Linked DNA regions of Oryctolagus cuniculus. The protein of the gene in region 1 interacts with the protein of each later gene in a pairwise test. Links are inferred from orthologs where the notes say so. Each region holds a gene or a part of one and is shown in the gene's direction. Other genes may lie near its edges.

Region 1 (5,170 bases):
TGAGGGAGAAGAGCAAAAATTCAAGTTGAACACAAAAATACCTGTTGGAACTTATATAAATCATTATACTTCTCGTGGAAGTCCAAGTTCAAAAGTTCCTTCTGAAGCCTTTCCAAGAAGTCTTGGCTTTGGATGAAGTTTGGGATCACACAGTGAAGAAAGGGGTCCACATCCATGACAATGGCTTCTGTTGGAAGGAAAACACCATATATGGCTTTTTTAACACAGTAGAGGGAATACAAAAGACGATGGTCATGAAGTTTTGGGAACCTAACACCTAAATTCTAAGATTTAGAGGAAGAATCGCTAAGTTCAGCTTTTCTTTATCTACTCAATGCTATTTTTAAAAAAATATAATATTTAAAAATACTTGTCCTTAAGATAAGTACAGGTGATGTCGGCCAACCAAGGATTCTGTCCTTTTTCTGAGTTTCAATTACTTACTGAATTGAATGTATGTTAGATTTTTAATTCACTTCCCCCAATATTAAAATAGCAGTAGCTAATAAGAGTAGCAACACTGGCTGGCAGTTCCTCTTTAGCCCTGCTTTATTTTTCCTCCAGTTATTGTCAAGGAAGTCCTTACACAGGAGTCCTCCCCACCTCCCTCCCCCACCAGGTAAGGCATAACCTCCTCTAGTTCCTTAATTTCTATCCCAGCATTTTACCCACTGCCTCCGCCGGGCTGGACTGTGAATGGCCCCTTAATCACCACCACTCAGCTACTACAAGCCAGACCCACGTGGTTTAGGTGTATTATCTCATTTAATCTCAGCAACTCAGTAGGCGTTATCCCTATACCCATCTTCTAGACGAGGAAACTGAGACGCCTGAGCGTTCGGAGCTCGCACAAAACACTCAGCTATCACCATCCAGTGCAGCCAGGGCACCCCACACGCCTCTTCAAAGCACTTAACAAGGAAAACAGAAACCACGGTCAACTCTCCCAGGGAGCACGTGACAGTCAGCAGGGTTCTAGGCTCTAAGGCGACGTCTGAAGCTGAGACTGCAATCTTCCTTCCTGTGTATTTTCCTAGGTCAGGCAGCAAACCACGTTAAAATGGGTTAAGCGCAGGCGCCTGCTCTCTCGGCAGCCCCCCACAAATGCCCAGGCTGGAACCCCAAGGGGCCGCCGCGCTCACCCGGGCCACCCGAGCAGGTGTTGGAATGTTTACCGAAGAAGTAAGTGCCTGGTTTTACTAATTCCATTCGGCATCTCTCCGAGGTAAACGCGATTAGCCCCTTTTACATAAGAAGGAATTCAAGTTTAAAAAAGTTGAATCCATAATCGCCGACTCGCAGGCCCTCTACTTTCCCAAACTCTCCGGCCTACGTTTCCTCCTCTTTCGCGTTTCTAAATCCAAACTGAATCTAGAATGAAAAGGAGTGGCAGCCGAGGGAGGAGGGTCGGAGGCGGCCAAAGTTCTCCCGGTTCCTCGTGGCCCCGGCTGCCCAGGGCTTTGCTTCAGACCCCCCGCTCGGCGCCTCAGCCGTCATAACCCCCAGTTACCGTGACTGAACGGCGCCCTGCGACTCCAGGCTTCAGCCACCTGCTTTTTCAAGGTTTCCTCCGTGACAGCTTCCGAAAACTCCGCCATCACCTCCTTCTTTCCCTTTTTCCCCACGCGGCCCGGGCCGGGCTCAGCAGGCCGTTTCCCATTCATCTCCTAACAAGATACAGTCTCACGCCACACTGACCAAGCACCTACTTCCCCACGGCGACTACAATTCCCAGAATGCCTCAGTTCCCGTGTTCTCCAGCACTACCCATCGGGAAGAACCCAATCTAAAGGAGGCGGAACCTATCCCTGACTTACCAATGGGAGCGCTGTATATTGCGGCCATCTCACTAGCGATTGGCCCAGTAGCGCTTGGCCAGGCAGGCCTCCGCCTCTCAACTTCCTGCCGCCAGAGGCCCAGGATTCACTTCCGGCGTGCGTACGCCTCCTCTTGCGCTCTCATGTTAATGGCGGGCGGCGGCTACTGAGCGGGTCGCAGATAACCGCTGCCCGCACGGGGGGAAAAAATTTCCCTCACCTCCCGATTTCTGCTCACCACCAGAGTCAGAGGTTGCCAGCATGTCGGTGGTACCGCCCAATCGCTCGCAGACCGGCTGGCCCCGCGGGGTCAATCAGTTCGGCAACAAGTACATCCAGCAGACCAAGCCCCTCACCCTGGAGCGCACCATCAACCTGTAAGTGCGGCCTGGCCTTCGCGCGCAGCCTGGGCTCGCCCCGGTCAGTGCTGCTAAAGGCTCTTCTTCCGGCGCGCCCCGGGTCGGCGGGCCCCTAGCCCCGCGAGCCTTGCTCATCCCCACAGGTCCCTGGCGCGTCTTCCAGTCCCAAGGGGTTAGAACCTTGCTTGGAAGGATTTTTCACTTCTGGCAGGGAGACTTGTTCTCATCCGCTTATGGCCAGTTATTGGTAAAAGCAAAGTTCGCTTTAATTCCTTTCCTCACCTCTCCAGAGGTAACGAATTAAAAGTGTGCTTTTCCCCCCTTCCGGTCCAGTGTTTATGCTTGGTTCGCACCTAGGCTTTCGAGATCTAGCTCGGACCTTTAAGTGTCGTATGGTATTTCGGTGTGTGAATACACCACATTTCTAGTCATCTGCTCAGAGCTAGCTCACCTGCCCTATGCGTTCACATGCCTTCTCTGCCATAGCGTCCCAGACACCGAGGGCTCCAGCTTGGGAGTGTGGATGCCGTGTGTGGGTTTTTAGACCGTGAGAGAACCAGAGTTACGCCCCCGAGAACCCGTTGTGGGCTGTGCTTTATTTTTGAGCACTTCAGAGTCCTCAGAAGCAGTCTCGCTGTAGTAGGTCATTGGCGTTTGTGATCTTGATCAAGAAATTGGCATTGTGCTGAGAGAGAGTGAGGCAGCGTGGTGCTGACAGTGGTCAGGCAAGTGGCCAGTTCGAGCTGGTCAGTATTTATGTATAGGTACAAATTTTCAAAATACTTAGAGTGCAAGGATTTGCCAAGACTGATGTTTATGGGGGAAACACTTTAAATGTTTCTCTGTTTTATAGTCAAATAAATGAATTTCCCCCTCAAAAGCAAAAGCGAATTGGAATTAGATGGTTCTATCATTGTTTTATTTGGCTTGAGATGTAGATAATAGAAATGTGAGGTTTATAGAATTTGGAATTAGTTGATAGCTGTGTGCATACAAACTATCCTTGCAACTGTTACATTCAAGTACATACTAGTTAGTAATTTCGTTTCAGTTCCCTTATAAGAGTCCCAGGAAGTTGAGAAGACAAGTGTTCTTTAGAGTGGGAAAGCACAGCTTCTACGTTGCTTTCAGTGGTGATCAGAACTAGGATCCCACAGTTTTTCTGGATTTGCTTTGATTACCGGATCAGTTTGCATGAAGCCATTATGTAGAATTAACTTGGTGAGATGATGGTGCTTTCAATGAGATGTTTTACTCTTCACTTCATTAAAGTTGTGAGTTGATTTACAGTACTTTTGTTCTGTATAAATGCTGTATTCAGAAATAATCATTGTGTCGTGAACTTCAGTTCACCTGGGTGAGGCATTATATAGAAAACAAATCTCTCAAGCCGGCGCCGTGGCTCAATAGGCTAATCCTCCACCTTGCGGCGCCGGCACACCGGGTTCTAGTCCCGGTTGGGGCGCCGGATTCTGTCCCGGTTGCCCCTCTTCCAGGCCAGCTCTCTGCTATGGCCAGGGAGTGCAGTGGAGGATGGCCCAGGTGCTTGGGCCCTGCACCCCATGGGAGACCAGGAAAAGCACCTGGCTCCTGGCTCCTGCCAGGATCAGCGCGGTGCGCCGGCTGCAGCAGCGGCCATTGGAGGGTGAACCAACGGCAAAGGAAGACCTTTCTCTCTCTGTCTCTCTCTCACTATCCACTCTGCCTGTCAAAAAAAAAAAAAAAAAAAAAAAAAAAAAAAAAAAAAAAGAAAACAAATCTCTCTTCCCCTAGTATATCTTCATTTAGGAAACACTGCATGAACACCTACTTGATAACGAGTCCTGTGCATAGCACTGGGTATGTGAACATGAGGAAAGTCACGGTGTTAGGAGTCTGGGGTGGTAGATTTTCATCTCACAGCTGAAGATTCAAGCATTTCATCTTGATGGCATCTTACTGATGTGGGAGCTGGCTGTTGGACTAGGAGTATGTTATCACTGTCCTTATTAGTTCTTTCTGACTCCAGTTGTGAGAACTAAGTGAATAGACTTGCCTGGCAGATAATGCTAGATTTCATTTCACTTACAAGCGTGAGGTACCTGTGAGGTAACTGCTGCTGCTACCGAGGACTCTGTTAGATTCAGCCTTGGGTCTGCTGGGGAAGGTTCTTTATTTTCAACTTTTGTTTATTTGTTTCAAAGAGAGAGAGTGAGATTGATCTTCAATCCATTGGTTCACTCCTCAAGTGGCTGCAATAGCTAGGTCTGAGCCAGGAACTTCATTCTGTTCTCCGACATGGGTGGCAAAGGCCCAAGTACTTGGACCATCTTTCACTGGTTTCCTGGGCATATTAGCAGGAAGCTGGATAGGAAGTGGAGCAGGAATCACAAGTGGCAACCTAACCTGTGCCACAGTGCTGTCCCCTGCCCTCCACCCTGGAGTTCTCTTGAGTTGGCAACTTTGACTTATTTACCCTTCAAGAGGAGGTGAGTAGATTAGGTATGTGAGCAGACTAGGTATGTAGTGGTTGACTATTAATATCAAGGGCTCCCCCCCCGCCTCCGTTTGAAAAGCAGAGTTACACAGAGAGAGGAGAGGCAGAGACAGAGAGGTCTTCCATCTGCTGGTTCACTCCCCAGATGGCCACCACGGTCGGAGCTGCACTGATCTAAAGCCAGGAGCCATAGAGCTTCCTCTGGGTCTCCCACGAGGGTACAAAGACACAGTGACCTGGGCCATCCTCTACTGCTTTCCCAGGCCACAGCAGAGAGCTAGATCAGAAGTGGAGCAGCTGGGACTCAAACCGGTGGCCACATGGGATACGGGCACTGGAGACAGCAGCTTTATCCACTATGCCGCAGTGCTGGTCCCTATCAAGGGCTTTTAATAGAGAAGATAACCTTGCAAATAGCAAGTGTGGCCCAGGTGTTATTACTCAAGTTCACAATCAAAGGCTCATCATTAAGGGGTTATAAGTTGGTAAGTGTGATACAGTATAAATGTGGGATTTTT
Region 2 (5,079 bases), on another chromosome or scaffold:
CGACCCCATTTAACTTCTCTTAACATGCCTGGAAGACTGCAGATGATGGCACAAGTACTTGGGTCCCTGCCACCCATATGCCAAACTCTGATGGAATTCCTTGCTCCTGGCTTCAACCTTGGTCAGCCCAAGCTGTTGTGGACCTTTGAAGAGTGAATTAGTGAATGGAAGATCTCTCTTCCTCCCTATTCCCCATTACTCTATTCTTAGAATAAATAAATCTTTTTTAAAAATCATGTTTCTTAACACAATGAAAGCAAGCAATAAGGTAGCTAATAGTTACAAGATACCAACTAATAATATAGCAAAAACCAGATTTTCAGGAAAACGTAAATTGCCTAAAAACTCCAAACTGCAACCATGATTTTCTCATTTTATTTGCATTTTGCATTGCCCTACTTTGCCAACTCACAAATCCTGAGAGACAGAGTTGTGATATTAATAGCAGGAATAGAATCAAGGACAATGCCTGCAACTAGATCAATTTAAAACCTGCCATGATAGCGAATTGTCCAAGTGTACATGTTTAGTCTTTCTTTGTCAGGATTATATATTCTACCTTCTTGGTACAATCCTAAAAGGGACTTTTGTGTGTTTTGTGCTTAAAATCAAAATTGAATTTGTTGTGGGACTTTAAAATCTCAGTCCCCAGAACATATTCCAATTTGAGTCATTGCATCCAAGTTTACAAAAACTTGGTTCTAAGTAGTTTTAGCTGGAAAAGTTCATTAGTTCAACTCTAAAAATGAAAATATTATCGTCTCTTGGCCTTTTGGCTAAGATCATGTGTAGTATCTGCTCTTATCAGTTTAAAAATGAAATCATTGATTCACAAAGACAGAGAGAATGGTGGGTAAGTGATCTTTATTTGGTCTGTACATTCTGCTTCCAAACAGGAGTTTTCCATAAGAAAAAAAAAAGAACTAGATAAAAATACAATCAGAAGTGCTTTTATGTTGGACTCCAACAAAAAGTTTCAACCTTTTTCCAAATTTTCATTTATATAGCCTTTAAATTCATGGTTCAAAAATACATTTAACTTAACTCCTGGAACAATTTCAATACAATGGCTTAGTATATCCTCCCATGAAATTATGCGCTTAAGTCTGGACGCCTTTCCAGGCCGCCTTTGCTGTATTGGCCCATTCCCAGAGTCTGGCAGCAAGGCCAGAAATCTGAAATGTAGGCCTTCGAAGCAGGGCGATGGCCAGGAAAAGGACTACAGAGAGAATGGCAGAAGCATCATCGAGTGGGTGAAATGAGTGCAGGGAACGCAAACTTACACTGCACAAAGGCTTTTTTTTAAGAGATGATGTTTGGAAATAGTGATACCCCACACAGGATTCAGTAGTTAACAACAAACCCGACCCTTAATTAACCCAGAGATTTCAGAATCTGCCCTGCGGCAGATGCCTGGTCTACGGATTTTGCGTCCCAATGTCTTCCATCCCTCTCTATACTGCCACAAAAACAACCTCAAGAAACGGGAGGTAGAAGGCCCTGAGGCGCAACACAGTGGTTCTAGTGCAAACATGCGGCCCCAGGGGACGCCTCGGGTTCTACCCTAGGACCGCCAGGCCGCTGAAGGCTGGCGCGGCCGCTGGCGCCTCCTATTGGCTGCCTCGAGCGCGCGTTCCGCCCCGCGCCGCGCTCCGCCCTGGTGTCAGTTGCGAAGGACGCGGCGTCGGTTGGTTACCAAGATGGCGACGGCTGGGAGACTGCTGCCACCTTTGCTATTGCCAGGCAAGGTCTTCGCAGTTGCAGCAGCTGTCGCCACCACGGTCACGAGCGCCTCTGCGTGGGAGTCAGGGCTGCCGCGGCCAGTCTTTCGGCGCCCGTGACGCGGGGCTTGAGAGAAGGCTTGTGGGGAGGGGCCGAGGACGAGGAAGCCGGAGCTGCTATGAGGGAGGCGCTAGGGGCTGGCGAGGAGGTGGCGCTGAGGTGAAGGATGCTGACTGGGAGGCCGGGAGCCAGAAACGCGGTCCCAGGACTGGGCACTGACTCCTCCGACACCTGCGGCAGAGCGCCCCTCAGCCCCCAAGAGAGCGGCGGGCGTCACCGACCTGGCGCTTACCTGTATCCTTCCCAGCCTGTGGCTGCCGGGGTGGCGGTGTTGGCGACGAGGCAGGTGTTTTCCCCATAACTCCCCATGACCGCGGCCGCCAGGTGATGCAAATTAGCAAGTCATCTTAATGCGGGTGTTCTCATTGCCCCCACCTAATCCCGTTCTGCGCCCCCTTCCCCCTCCGCCCTGTTGTCCTACCCCATTCATCAACTTCTTTGTAAAATGTCGGGGATTTTTCAAATAGAGAAACCGTGTATTCTGTAGGAGTTATTTTTGCCTTCTAGAATGATGCCTTTATGTTCTTTACTTACATATTAATCACTTCTTGGTTAATCGTGCCACTTAGAGAAGTGGGAAAATAGAAGGAGGTTTTGCTGTCCTGAAGAATCCGTGAGAACAATTAACCTAGCACGTCTAGATCTGTTTAGCAGAGCTACTGAAGCCTAGCCCTGCTTGGTGATTTGTTTTGTTTTCTCCCTGTGCAGTCTGTTGTCACAGAGACAGCAGAGAAGAAATGAGAAGGAAGGGACCCGAGCTTCCCAAAACAGATTGCCTGGGACTTTTCCCTCATTTTTAGTTGAAGCCAACTTTGATGTTGCTGTTGGTTGCCTTGTAGATAAGCGAAAGAGTTTTGTTTACACAGTTTGCAAACCATGTTTATTCCTTCAGAGACTGTTGTGATGATTAGAATTTAACGTTTGAATTCTCCGGGGACTAGTTGGCAGGGATAATAGTGCCTAATCATCTTCATTCTTGTCTTCTCTTTCCAAAGTAACCTTTATTTTCTTATCCCTATTGTCTCCAACTTTTTCTGGGATGTCCTTTTAACTCTGTTGGAATTTTAACAGCATGTAAGCAATTTGTATTGATTATCTGCTTTTTGGCAGGCTCTGTTCTAGATTCTAGGGATATAAATTAATAAAAAAAGAGAGGTAGGTACAGAGTTTTACTAAGAGTAAAATATCCCTCTTCTGAGCATAATTTCCTGCACGTACGATCCCTTCTATTTCTTTGGTGAAGTTTCCAAAATTATATCCTGCAATAGCAGCTTCTACTTCCTCTCATCTGTTCATAAATAACTCCACTGAGTTTGACTTTTGCACTTGCTACTCTCAAAAATATACTCTGATATGAACTGGGTTATTTTTCTGTATTCATTTGACTTTGCCCTTGTGACATTGTATTTTCCTGGACACCAAACTCCTATTACACTGAACCTGATTTATCATGAAATCAACAGGGACATGGTAAACGGTTCGTGGACAAGGTGTTTCTACTATTGTCATTAATTAAATGATCAAAGATAAAATTGTATATGCAATGTAATACATACAAACACCACAGAAAATACTTGTAAATATAAGGGGACTACAGAAAGTTCCTGGAAAATCTGCTATCATTCACATAATAAATATGAGGTCTCTGCTAACATGACCCCAGCAGTAGATGCTCAGTGAATTTCAAGGCAACATGTTCTATACTTACCAGCATATTTATGACCCTTTATCTTTATGCACTAAAATAAATTATCTTTTAATTCTACTTTTTGACAAACTTTTTGAAGAACCCTCATGGAATTCAGCAGTACATCAAATGAACACACCAAATAGGCTTTATTCCAGAATTATAATGATGGTTTCCTAAAGAGAAATATATACTTTAAAATATAAAGACAAAATGTATTGTTAAGTTGTAAATTATCATTTCTTTTTTAGGTTTATTTATTTTAAATTTTTTTATTTAAGGTGACCATTTTTAATGTATTTATTGCAAGGTGTCTGGCGCTTAACAAATCTTCCCAGGCAGACGAATCGAATCATTAATTCACAGGCTTTTATTGGGATTCCGCTCCCAGGCGAGATTCCCCAGTCCCAACAGAGCGGGGGCGGGGAAGTCATGCATCAGAGGTTGGGAGGGCTCCTTTTATAGATTCAGGGCATGGGGGTTAAAGGTTGAGGCGGGTCTGAACCTCAATGGTTGACCTTTAGGCCCCCGCAGGGACCTTGACAAGAACTTTTCTTCCCCAGAAGTACAGGTAGGGACTTCTCCATTCCCAGAAGTGTAGGCCTTCCTTCCATGTGGATCCCAAAGCTACCATCCCGACCTTTTGATGATAGGAAAAGGGGTGACGATGAGTCTCTCTGGCTACTTCCTGCTGACTGGGGACATTGTCTACAGGGGCCCGCTGTGGGTATCTTGGGACTCCACAGGGACAGGCATGTATGGATGGAGAAGCATCTGGTTGACTGGTTGCTGAAGGCCTTGGTTCATTCCATTATCACCTGATGTAAACGCTTAAACAGACACTGTAGTATACAAGTCAAGGTGAGAATAACAACCAATGATCCTAAGAGTGGCATTAACCAGGTAATGAGAAGATTTCATAGAGGAGAGGAAATGAGGGGGGGGTCTCTGGACCCTTGTGAGGTTTGTTTGATGGACATGGTTTAAATCTAATCCCAGCCAAGACCAGGAGAAAGGCCACTCAACTTTTGCAGGTAGAGGGGTTTGTCTGTAGAGAAATTCTGAATAATCATACAACATTAAGTGGAGGAGAGGACCATCAGTACACACAGGTTGGGAGCAGAGCCACTGATGTTAGAGTAGAGGTTATTATTACAAAGGAATGAGGCCCAAGTAGGCTAGACAGTGTCTAGAACAAAGGACAGAGTCATTATTAGAGGACTCAAGAAAGGTGCTGTCTAAGCCATAACTAAATTTTCTGATTGAGAGACACATAGAAACTGACAGAAGGGACTTAATAATAATCTGGTGGGCTTTAGGCCTTGTAAGTTAAGATGCCCAGACCTATCTATCTCTTCACATAGGGTACATCCTAAGGGAGGTCTGACCCTCCTTGGGGAATGCACCCTGTTGACTTCCATTATCTACCTGGCTTGGGAGGAGAGCTGGCCAGGTAAAGGCAGGTGGCATCTCTAACAGGAAATTTACAGTTCTGCCTGCAATGTTGCTGACCCTACTTGGCCATCCCCTCAGCTGCAGTGGTCACTTTG
Region 3 (5,140 bases), on another chromosome or scaffold:
CCAGCTGTCACACATAGTTGCTGAGCCTGCCTCTGTCTGGGAGTGATGGGAGTCCTGGACTACAGTGATCCCTCCTTGTGTCCCCCAGAGTTCAAGGAGGCCTTTGAGCTGTTTGACCGAGTAGGGGATGGCAAGATCCTGTACAGCCAGTGTGGAGACGTGATGAGGGCCCTGGGCCAGAACCCCACCAACGCCGAGGTGCTCAAGGTCCTGGGGAACCCCAAGAGTGACGGTGAGGGGATCCTTGGGACAACGCAGGTTTTTCTGTGGCTAGATGTCGGTAAGGTGACAAAGGATGCTGGGCTGGATCTCGGGACCTGAGAAACCGTCAGACACCAGGCAGAAAAACATCCCGAATGCTGAGCACGATGAAAGGTGGTGTGGGAGGGGCCCCGGCGACATCACACTGACCTGTCTCATGCTTCCCTCCAACCGCCAGAGCTGAAGTCCCGGCGTGTGGACTTTGAGACCTTCCTGCCCATGCTCCAGGCAGTGGCCAAGAACCGGGACCAAGGCTCTTACGATGACTACCTGGAGGGGCTTCGGGTGTTTGACAAGGAGGGAAACGGCAAAGTCATGGGAGCAGAGCTGAGACACGTCCTCACCACCCTGGGTGAGGCAGGGACAGAATTCTATGAGGGCTGGTGGGGGAGTGGGGGAGCAGTGGACCAGGGTAGGCAGAGCCAGGGAGAGGATTACTGCCCTGCTGGGCAGGAGATGGAAGGGCTGGGGACAGGACCTGAAGGGCTGGCGCTTCCAGAGGCTAACGTGCCTCCCACAGGGCAGAGAACGGGAGACAAGTGGGAGACGTGTGCCCGTCACCCCTGGGAGTCAGTTCCCTTGTCCCTAGAAACTCCCATCAGTAGCAAGGCACTTTGTTACGAGTCGAGATGCAAAACAAGAGGCTTTACCGCGACAGCGGGAGGATGTCCTTGGGGGGAGTGGCTCCGAGCAAGTCTCCAGGGTGGGATAAGAGGTGCCACCCAGAAGAGTGTGGCTTGGGCCCCTGAGGGACCGCGCCAGGGCGGGGCTCCAACGCCGCCGTGTCTGGGGTGCAGGAGAGAAGATGACTGAGGAGGAGGTGGAGACTGTCCTGGCGGGACATGAGGACAGCAACGGATGCATCAACTACGAGGGTGAGGGGCCGGGGCGGGAGGGGCCCTTCGGGGGCGGCTGGGCGCACCCTGGGTTACCTAGAGTCGGGCGCGGTGTCCGCAGGCCCGGGTCTGAGGACCCTCTGCCTCCTCTCTCCGCAGCTTTCCTGAAGCACATCCTAAGCGTCTGAGCTCTACAGGTAGGGCCCTGCGACCTGAGGGCCGAGTCTCCCCCGCCTCCCGCCAGCTCAGAAAGCCGCGGACTGCGCGGGCGTCAGAGCTTGGCAACTTTCATTTTTTTCCCACAGATCCCGCGGGGCCAGATACTGATTCCCCCCACCCCCTGCAGGAGGAAGCACGTTCCTGCCACTAGGAGGCCACCTATTGTTTCAAAATAAAGACACGGTTCCTTCCTCGGTCTCAGACTGGTTTTCTTTGTGGGGTTGGAGGGGAGTGACGCCTTTCCCCACTTCCCGGTACCTCATCCTCCGATGTTCTGGGAGTTAGGAGGAGCAGATCGCTGCGCCCGACCCCCCACCCGCTCGAGCGTCTGCGGGCTCAGGTGCGAGCGACCCCGCCCGTCTCATTACTAATGCAGTAATGTAACCGCCCGAGCCCGGGGCGGGGCGCCCATTGGCTGGCCGGCCCGGGGTGACGTCATCAGGGCGTACTAAGACTAGGGTTGGGCCCGGAGCCGGAGCCATTACTGCAGGAAAAGATCCCGCAGAGCTGAGCGGTCAAGATGGTGGGGCCCGGGGCCTGGGAGCCGAGTGGGGTTTGGGACGAGGCGGGCAGCCGGGGGCAGGGGACGAGGAGCAGGCCAGGGTAGCGGGCGAAGGGGATCTGGGTGGGTTGGAAAGCCTGGGGTCCTGGTGCTGCTGGGGAGCGGAGCCCCAGCCTGCAAGAGGAGTTTGTGGGACGGGGATGGAGCATGGGGCGGGGGGGGGGGGGAGGTTGGAGTTCGGGTGCTGACCGCTACCTCTTCTCCGAGCAGTGCGACTTCACCGAGGACCAGACGGCAGGTAGGTCATTCTCTGGCTCCAACTGAGGTCATCTTCAGGGAGAAGGACACTCCCTCTGGCTCCTAACCCCAAACTGTTATCTCTTTACCGCCCCCCACCCCCACCCTCGGGAGAGTATCCCTGGAGTCCCTTCTCCCTTCTTCCGGGTCCTCTGTTTCCTTTTCTCACTTTCTTCCTCACTCCCCTTCTACTCTAGATCTGAGCCCCAAGCACTGGGTGAGTTTTAGGTGTGGGTATGTGGTCACCTAGTGCCTGCTGTGTGTGGGGTTTGGGGAGGGTCTGCGTGCCTCTGCTGTCCCTTAATCACTACATCTGCCTCTTCTCTCCTCCTTTAACTCTCCCTCCCTGCTCTCCCCACCCCCGGCTTGAATCGTGCAGATTGTGAAGGGCAGTGACCTGATTATTTCCCTGAAGTCGGGGACAGGGGAGTGTGCCCAGGATGTGACTATAGTTTTACTCTGCTAAGGTCTTTGTATGGTGGAAGTGGCCAGCTGGGATGACCCAGGTCTTGGGCTGTTGCTCCCACTTCCTTATAAGGACATGACCCAGACTGGGCGGTGGCAAATTCCTGCCCTGAGTAGTGTTTTAGTAGCGGGAGGCTGGCAGGCCTGCTGCAGGCGGAGGGTGTGTGCACATGGATGTTAGCAGACCACCAAGGGGACCGGGTGGCTGATTCTTCATGTGGGACACTTGAGTTGGGAGGAGAAATGGATCCCTCCTGGGACACTTAGTGTAGAGGTATCTGGTTTCCTCAGCTTGATCAGGGCCCTCCCAAGGCAGGGTTCAGGTTAACCCCCACGGCCCCAGTACTGACCTTCATCTGAATCCTCAGAGTTCAAGGAGGCCTTCCAGCTGTTTGACCGGACAGGCGATGGCAAGATCCTGTACAGCCAGTGTGGGGACGTGATGAGGGCCCTGGGCCAGAACCCCACCAACGCCGAGGTGCTCAAGGTCCTGGGGAACCCCAAGAGTGACGGTGAGGGTCGTAGAGAGCAGCCCCACTCCAATTGAGAGCTTCAGAGGCCCCAAGCTCAAGCAAGTCTTGTCTCGATTAGGAAATCCCAGGTTGCCCCTGCTGAGTCTTTTTTTTTTTTTTAAGATGTATTTATGTGAAAGAGTTGGAGAGACAGAGAGATCTTCCACCTGCTGGTTCACTTCCCAAATGGCTAAGAGCCAGGCTTGGGCCAGGCTGAAGCCATGAAGTCAGGAGCTTCTTCAAGGTCTCTCACATGGGTGCAGGGGCCCACACACTTGGGCCGTCTTCTGCTGCTTTCCCAGGCCACAGCAGGGAGCTGGATTGGAAGTGGAGCAGCCAGGACATAACTGACACCCATATGGGGTGTCGATGTTGCAGGCAGTGGCTCTACCTGCTAGGCCAGAGCGCCCACCTCCCACCCCTGGAGTCATTTGCTGACTGTGATCCTGAGAGTTCCCTCCTGAGAGCTCGTGTGACTTCCTGGCCTGACGTCCCCATGCTTCCTTTATGACAGAGATGAATGTGAAGGTGCTGGACTTTGAGCACTTCCTGCCCATGCTGCAGACTGTGGCCAAGAACAAGGACCAGGGAACCTATGAGGATTACGTTGAAGGCCTTCGGGTGTTTGACAAGGAAGGGAACGGCACTGTCATGGGTGCTGAGATCCGCCATGTCCTTGTCACACTGGGTAAGGCTCTGTCCTTGAGCTGAGCTACTCCTACTCACTCTGAGAGACCTCACTTGTCACCCACCTTAAAAAATGCCTCCTTCCCTCTGCAGGTGAGAAGATGACAGAGGAGGAAGTAGAGATGCTGGTGGCAGGGCACGAGGACAGCAATGGTTGTATCAACTACGAAGGTGAGGGGTCACCTGGGGCAGTCACAGGGGTCAGCTTAGGGATAAGACTTGGGGTTTTTCATATCCCTGGACTTGGGCTCCAAGAGGAGCCAGGAGGCAAAGGGCAGGGCTTGGCCTGGCCCAGCCCAGGGGTTGGGGGAGAGGGTCAGGGGGAGGATGACAGGAAAGGAAGGGGGAACGTGGCACGGAGAGTGGGGAAGGAAGGGGACGTAGACTCCACGGGATGTGTGTCCCCCAGCGCCTGACCCTTCACCCGTGTCCGTGTCTTGTCTTCACCACGAATGTCTCTTCCTTCCTGCAGCGTTTGTGAGGCATATCCTGTCGGGGTGACGGGCCGTGGGGCGGGTACGGCTCCTCCCAGCCTCTCCTCTAGTTGATCGCCCCAGTGTCTCTCTCCAGCCTGTGCTCTCGCCCCTGCCCTCACCCTTACTACCATCTGACTTCTGGCATGTTCCTGCATGGAGCTGGCTAGGAGGGGAGGGGTCCTCAAAGAGGAAGACAGCCTGGGGGAATGGTACCTCCTTCCTTCACACCTGGAACGGGCTCTGAAGTTTCGCTTACAGGGCCCTGGGTGCTGGTGACTGGGAACTCTCAGCAGCCAAACACCAGTCTTGCTTTAGGGTGAGCCTTTGGCCCTAGAGCATGGTGGTTGGCACAGGAGGGGCGAGCCGCCTGCCCCCTCCGTAGCTATAGCTTAATTGTCGTCTCCCCTTCCCTCTGCTGGGGCAGCTTGGAGGTACCCTAACCCGAAACTCTGTCCTCTCCTCCTGCCAGTGGCTGACAGTAGCTGTAGGTGTAGCCAAGACCTCTTCTGCATCTGCTGTGTTCTTGCTGCAGGGTGGGGTGGGGGACTAACAGCCAGAGGGAGGGCAGCTAGGGGCAGGGAGAACCGGTCAGACTCAAGGTGGCTCTCCTGCAAACTGGCCCCAGGTTGGCTGCCATGGACGTGGCCCCTCTAGTGCTACCTTCGCAGTCTTGCCGTCTCCTGGCCCTGGCGCAGCCCTCCCCAGCCGAGTCCCCAGCTCACTCTGCCCTTCCTTTCCCCAGAGCTTGTCCGGATGGTGCTGAACGGCTAAGGACACTCCCAGAATCCCCAGAGCCCGTGCCTTTCCCTCTGTGAGACTGTATCAGGCTCTCTGCTCACGGCACCTTTCCTGAGCTCCTCTGCCTGTCTGCCGTCCGCACTGACT
Region 4 (5,222 bases), on another chromosome or scaffold:
GTTGTGTTTCCCAGACTGCTGAGAGGCGCTGACCTTGTCCTCTTCTGTCATTTTCCTCTCAGTGTTCCGTGGCTGTGGAGATGAGAGCGGGATCTCAGCTGGGACCTGGGTATCAGCATCACGCACAGCCCAAGTGAGCACTGTGAGGGGGGCCTCGCTGTGTGTTCCTCCTAGCACCCCCCCGCCACCCTACTTGCTGTAGAAGTGATCGTTTCCCCTGGAGGTGATGGAGCAAGGGCGGCGCTGGCCCTGTCCTGCCAGCGCTCCTGCAGGGAGTTGTGCACAACAGCCTTGTGTTCCCTCTCCTGACCTGCCAGTGCCGGCTGAGATCAGTGCAGCTGAGCCGCAGGACGTACGGTGTGATGGGGCCACACTTCGTCTTCTATGAAACTCAAACACTGGATTTCCTTGACATAGTGGAAACCCCTTCTTTGCAAATATCTGCCTGTGTACTATTTTTTTTTTTTTTTTAAGATTTATTTTGTTTATTTGATAGAGTTAGAGAAATAGAGAGAAAGCTCTTCCTTCTGCTGGTTTACTCTCTAAATGGCTGCAATGGCCGGAGCTGAGCTGATCTGAAGCCAGGAGCCAGGAGCTTCTTCCGGGTCTCCTGCATGGGTGCAGGGACCCAAGCACTTGGGCCATCTTCTACTGCTTTCCCAGGCACATCTGCAGAGGAACTGCAGTGGAAGTGGAGCAGCTGGGACTTGAACCGGCACCTGTATTGGATGCTGGCCCTGCAGGATAGGCTTTAGCCTACTGTGCCATAGCACCAGCCCCTGTGCAGTATTTTTAGCTCTTGTATTCCTTAGGCAGTTTGGAAAATGGTTGGGACAGGAGAAAGATGGGAGGTCCTGTGGTCTACATGTAACACTAGATAAGCGTATCTTACATGCTGTTTCCTTTCTCAGGACTTGAGTTTTCCCATGATAAACAGAGCTCAAAGCCCTACAAAAGATTTCTTTTACTACAAAGGGGTCACCAATTGCAAATTCCACACTAAATGTTGGGTTTGGTTTTAGGCGCAAGAAGCCATGAACAAGACAGCCCCAGTAGCGGCAGAGCGTCGTCACTGTTGCTGGTGACTGCTCCGAAGCCACGGAGAGCAGCCTCCTGCGGCCTCGCTGGACGTCCCAGACCTCAGCCCTGTCAGACACTGGCCTAGAGCAGCGCTTCCCTGATGGTTCCAAAGACACGCAGCAGTCAGCAGACCTTGTATATTATGTGCCTCACCGTATTTAATATTCCCAGCAGAGCAAGACCCCGGGCTCATTGCTGTATGGACTTTTTATAATGCTGTTTCTTGTATATTTCTTATGGACTTATAAACTAATTCACACAGCTGTTTGTCTTGGTATAATTAAGGTAATATCTAGATCACGCTTCGTTTTTTATTGTGACTTCTCCAGCTCTGGTCTGAGTATTTCTTGGGTTTTATAAACGAAACAAATGCTGCTATTGATTAGCTGCAAGAATGCACTTTAGACATATTTGACAATTGAAACTTTCAAAATAAAGATATCGGGACTGGCCCATAATAAAACCATTTTCAGAAGGTGTTTTGCATTTTGTATATATATACTCACTTTCTGACATTTAGATATGCCAAAAGAATTGAAATAAAAAGCACTCAGAACCACAGAGGTGTGATGGTCATTCATTTCACACACACACTAGCCGCAGCAAGCACGCGTCTCGCTTTCACCTGGCACTCTTCCTTGTGAACTGAATGAGAAGAAAGCCCTGGAAAATGCCCACGGGAAGTAATCTGTTAAATGGGAAATGCCTTTTTTGTCTGACAACCATAATTCCTACAGAATAAGTGCGCTCTCCCAGACATTTAAACAGAAAACACAGTTTGGCACAAAACAGAAAGCACTGTGGAAAATCCTGGTGAAATAGCTATTCTTGCCTGAGTGAGCCTGTTTGCTTGTTAAGTTTGCATTTCTTTTAAGGCTGAACTTTTTAACATGATAGTTTGTGCATTTTTAAAATCAATATTGAAAGGATGATATTAGTCCTGACCAAAAGCAGTTTCAAAGGCTAAGGAGAAAGACAATCCACGTGTCACTCAAAGTGTAATAGGAAAATTACATGTATTTTTAGAATGCTTCCTATTTCAGTAGAAACTCCAGGATTTTTCACTTATTTCAGAGGCAGAGAGGATTCTCAGGTACTTGTTCTGTCACCTGTTGCCAACCAATCCACTTTGGATTTGTAAAACTATAGTTCTGACACTGCCAAGTTCCCATGAAGGTGCGTTTTTTGGGTTTCTATTCTATTCTGATCCATGCATCTCTAGGCATCCCAGTAACACTTTGAAACATTGATCTAATATATACTTGCGCATCTTCTATGTGCCATGTTTTGGGCACAGGGATTGCAGTGGTGAAGTTTGTGTTCTTGGATTTTAATTAAGTCTGTCTGCTTTAAAAAATCGTCCTGGTTATTACTGGCCTTTGATCCTTACATTTAAAATTTAAGGTCAGCTTGTCAGATTCTATTGAAAACCTTAATGGAATTTTGATTGAAGTTACATCATTAGAATTATCGACTGTAGGATCGTCCCATCATTCTTCTAAGGTTGCCTTTGATGGTCCATAAGGTTTTTAAATTCATTGATCTGAAACGCAGAGTTACAGAGTGACATCTTCCATCCACTGGTTCACTCCACCAATGGCCACAACCGCAAGGGCAAAGGCAGCCAAAACCAGGAGCCAGGAGCTGCAGGGTCTCCGCGTGGGTCCAGGGGCGCAAATACTTGGGCCATCTCGCTTCTTTCGCAAGGAGCTGGATGGGGAGTGGAGGAGCCTGGACTCAACCAGGGCTCAGGGGTGCGGATGCCACCACAAAGGTGGCCTCTTCATAGTTTTCAGATTTTAAAAATGATGGTCACGGGGCCGGCACTGTGGCATAGTGGGTAAAGCTGCCACCTGCAGTGCCGGCATCCCATATGTGCGCTGCTCCACTTTCCATCCAGCTCTCTGCTGTGGCCTGAGAAGGCAGTAGAAGACGGTCCAAATGCTGGGCCCCTGCACTCGTGGAGGAGACCTGGAAGAAGCACCCGGCTCCTGGCTTTGGTTTAGCACAGTTCCAGCTGAAGTCAGGAGCCAGGTGCTTCTCCTGGTCTCCCATGCGGGTGCAGGGCCCAAGCACCTGGGCCATCCTCCACTGCACTCCCGGGCCACAGCAGAGAGCTGGCCTGGAAGAGGGGCAACCGGGACAGAATCCGGCGCCCCGACCGGGACTAGAACCCGGGGGTGCCGGCGCCGCAGGCGGAGGACTAGAACCCGGGGTGCCGGCGCCGCAGGCGGAGGATTAGCCTAGTGAGCCGCGGCGCCGGCCCCCAGTAAGGTTTTGATGGGCACCCTTTACTAGGATATGGAAGTTAGCCTTTATGTTTCCCACTTTCCAAGGCTCTGGGGAAACAGCTGTTGGGTTTCAGCGTGGTTTCTCTGACTGAAAGTTTTCGGAGACGTCGCTCCTTAGTTCGCTGGTGTAAGATTTTCACGATATATACCCTGGGTATTAATTCACCGAAGGGCCGGGACCCGGCTCAAACGCTCTCACACCGGTGCGGGGCGCAGTCAGCCGCGCCTGGATCCAGTGAGCATGTTCCCTCTTCCTAAACGCCGTCCCGGTTCGCCAGACCCACGCTTCGGCCAGGTCCGGAGAGCCGGCATCTCGCAGCGGCGGACAAACTCCCACAACGAGCTCCGCGCACAGCGCAGGCGCGTACGTCACCCCCCCTCCGTCCCGCCCCTTCCGCCCTGCACGGGCGCCGATTGGCTCGAGCGGCCGTATAAGAAGTTGTGCGCAGGCGCACAGCCCCCTTTCCTCAGCTGCCGCCAAGGTGCTCGGTTCTTCCGAGGAAGCTAAGGCCGCGTTGGGGTGAGGCCCTCACTTCATCCGGCGACTAGCACCGCGCCCGGCAGCGCCAGCCCCACCAGCCCCGCACCATGGCCTCCGTCTCCGAGCTCGCCTGCATCTACTCCGCCCTCATCCTGCACGACGACGAGGTGACCGTCACGGTGAGTGCGGGGCGGCCGGTCCACGCGGTCCCGGCGTCCCTTCCGGCGCGGCGGGCGGGCGGGCCGGCCCCGTGCTGGGCCGCGGGCGGGCGGGCCCCCGCGCTGGGAGGCATGGGGGCGGCACGGGAGCCCTGCTCGGCGCCCCCGGCCTGGCCGCGTGACCCGGGAAGCCCTGGCAGAGCCCGGGCTCGGGGCGCGTCGCGTCGCTGGTGGCGGGCGCGGGTTGGAAGTGGGCGTCCGGGGGGGAGCGGGGAGCGTGGCTGTGCCCCCGGTGGTGCCCCGCTAGCCGGCGCTCTGTCGGTTTCAGGAGGACAAGATCAACGCCCTCATTAAAGCAGCTGGCGTCAACGTGGAGCCCTTCTGGCCTGGCTTGTTCGCGAAGGTAAGGCCGACTGGACCAGGTCAGGAGCGCTTGTCCCTACGCCCCAGCCCCCTAAGTAAGCTCCGGCTGGTCAGACCCGGCTCTTCGTTCCTTATCAGAAAGCGAGAGGAGCGCTTGCTTTCCCGGACTCCCGTGGGGCGCTGGGCTTTGCCGGCCGCCCGTGTTCCAGGCCGATGGAGACGGGGCCCCTGGCCGGAGCTGGTGCAGGCCGCTGAAGGCTAATAATAGCCTTGGAAGGCTCTCGTTGGCCTGTGTGCTGGGGTTTCGCAAGAGTGACAGTATGCACCCGGGTCAGCTTTTAGTAAATCCCCCTTTGAAAATGGCCCAGGCGGCCAGCAGTCTGAAATAGGGAATTCTGGGAAGCGCACGCCGGCCGCAGAACGTGCAGGAGTCTTTAGTTGCTTCAGGACGCCTGACTGCTGACAGGTTACTCGGGGCCGGTTGTCCCGTGTGTAGGAGAGGAGGAGTGCGGGTAACTGGCCCCTAGTGCTGCGCACGCGCAGTGCAAGCGCCGTGAGAGGGCTGGAAAGCTCAGTGGTTACTTGTGACAGCTTCAGTACAGCAGTGTGCCTCGCCTGGAATCTTAATCAACAAGAGAAGTCACTGTTGGGAGGGAAAGATAAGCTGCTTGATGCCCTGGGCGGACACCGTGCAGGTGTGGTTCCAGCCGCTGGGAGTCGGAGGCGGCTTTTTATCCTTTCCCTGAGTGCTGTATAATGCTGCGTGTGTGTTTCAGGCGCTGGCCAATGTCAACATTGGGAGCCTCATCTGCAACGTAGGGGCCGGGGGCGCTGCTCCAGCCGCTGGCG

Evidence for each region.
Region 2: the proteins of NUDT21 (region 1) and CEP126 interact in a two-hybrid assay, tested with the Homo sapiens proteins (2 studies listed by BioGRID and IntAct). The link is inferred for Oryctolagus cuniculus from reciprocal best matches to the Homo sapiens genes NUDT21 and CEP126.
Region 3: the proteins of NUDT21 (region 1) and MYL6 interact in binary tests that used the Homo sapiens proteins (3 or more experiments, as listed by UniProt). The two-hybrid records come from large-scale screens. The link is inferred for Oryctolagus cuniculus from reciprocal best matches to the Homo sapiens genes NUDT21 and MYL6.
Region 4: the proteins of NUDT21 (region 1) and RPLP1 interact in a two-hybrid assay, tested with the Homo sapiens proteins (2 studies listed by BioGRID and IntAct). The link is inferred for Oryctolagus cuniculus from reciprocal best matches to the Homo sapiens genes NUDT21 and RPLP1.

What each region holds. Positions count from the first base shown.
Region 1 is NC_091449.1:40,206,564-40,211,733, reverse strand, and holds the start of NUDT21 (cleavage and polyadenylation specificity factor subunit 5), read left to right. Parts: upstream 1-1,889; 5' UTR 1,890-2,078; coding exon 2,079-2,194; exon of another isoform or gene 2,195-3,565; intron 3,566-3,949; exon of another isoform or gene 3,950-5,170. Other genes in the region: prolyl 3-hydroxylase OGFOD1, read right to left, coding at 42-187, 1,511-1,664. UniProt on the Homo sapiens protein: Component of the cleavage factor Im (CFIm) complex that functions as an activator of the pre-mRNA 3'-end cleavage and polyadenylation processing required for the maturation of pre-mRNA into functional mRNAs.
Region 2 is NC_091432.1:93,341,092-93,346,170, forward strand, and holds the start of CEP126 (centrosomal protein of 126 kDa), read left to right. Parts: upstream 1-1,662; 5' UTR 1,663-1,948; coding exon 1,949-2,076; intron 2,077-5,079. UniProt on the Homo sapiens protein: Participates in cytokinesis. Necessary for microtubules and mitotic spindle organization. Involved in primary cilium formation.
Region 3 is NC_091442.1:58,964,303-58,969,442, forward strand, and holds the start of MYL6 (myosin light polypeptide 6), read left to right. Parts: upstream 1-1,513; 5' UTR 1,514-1,836; coding exon 1,837-1,839; intron 1,840-2,088; coding exon 2,089-2,116; intron 2,117-2,948; coding exon 2,949-3,092; intron 3,093-3,606; coding exon 3,607-3,780; intron 3,781-3,872; coding exon 3,873-3,950; intron 3,951-4,251; coding exon of another isoform or gene 4,252-4,280; exon of another isoform or gene 4,281-4,295; intron 4,296-4,997; coding exon 4,998-5,026; 3' UTR 5,027-5,140. Other genes in the region: myosin light chain 6B, read left to right, coding at 89-232, 440-613, 1,059-1,136, 1,257-1,285. UniProt on the Homo sapiens protein: Regulatory light chain of myosin. Does not bind calcium.
Region 4 is NC_091443.1:92,101,083-92,106,304, forward strand, and holds the start of RPLP1 (large ribosomal subunit protein P1), read left to right. Parts: upstream 1-2,084; 5' UTR 2,085-3,959; coding exon 3,960-4,031; intron 4,032-4,338; coding exon 4,339-4,413; intron 4,414-5,149; coding exon 5,150-5,222. Other genes in the region: kinesin-like protein KIF23, read left to right, coding at 63-133, 1,023-1,038. UniProt on the Homo sapiens protein: Plays an important role in the elongation step of protein synthesis.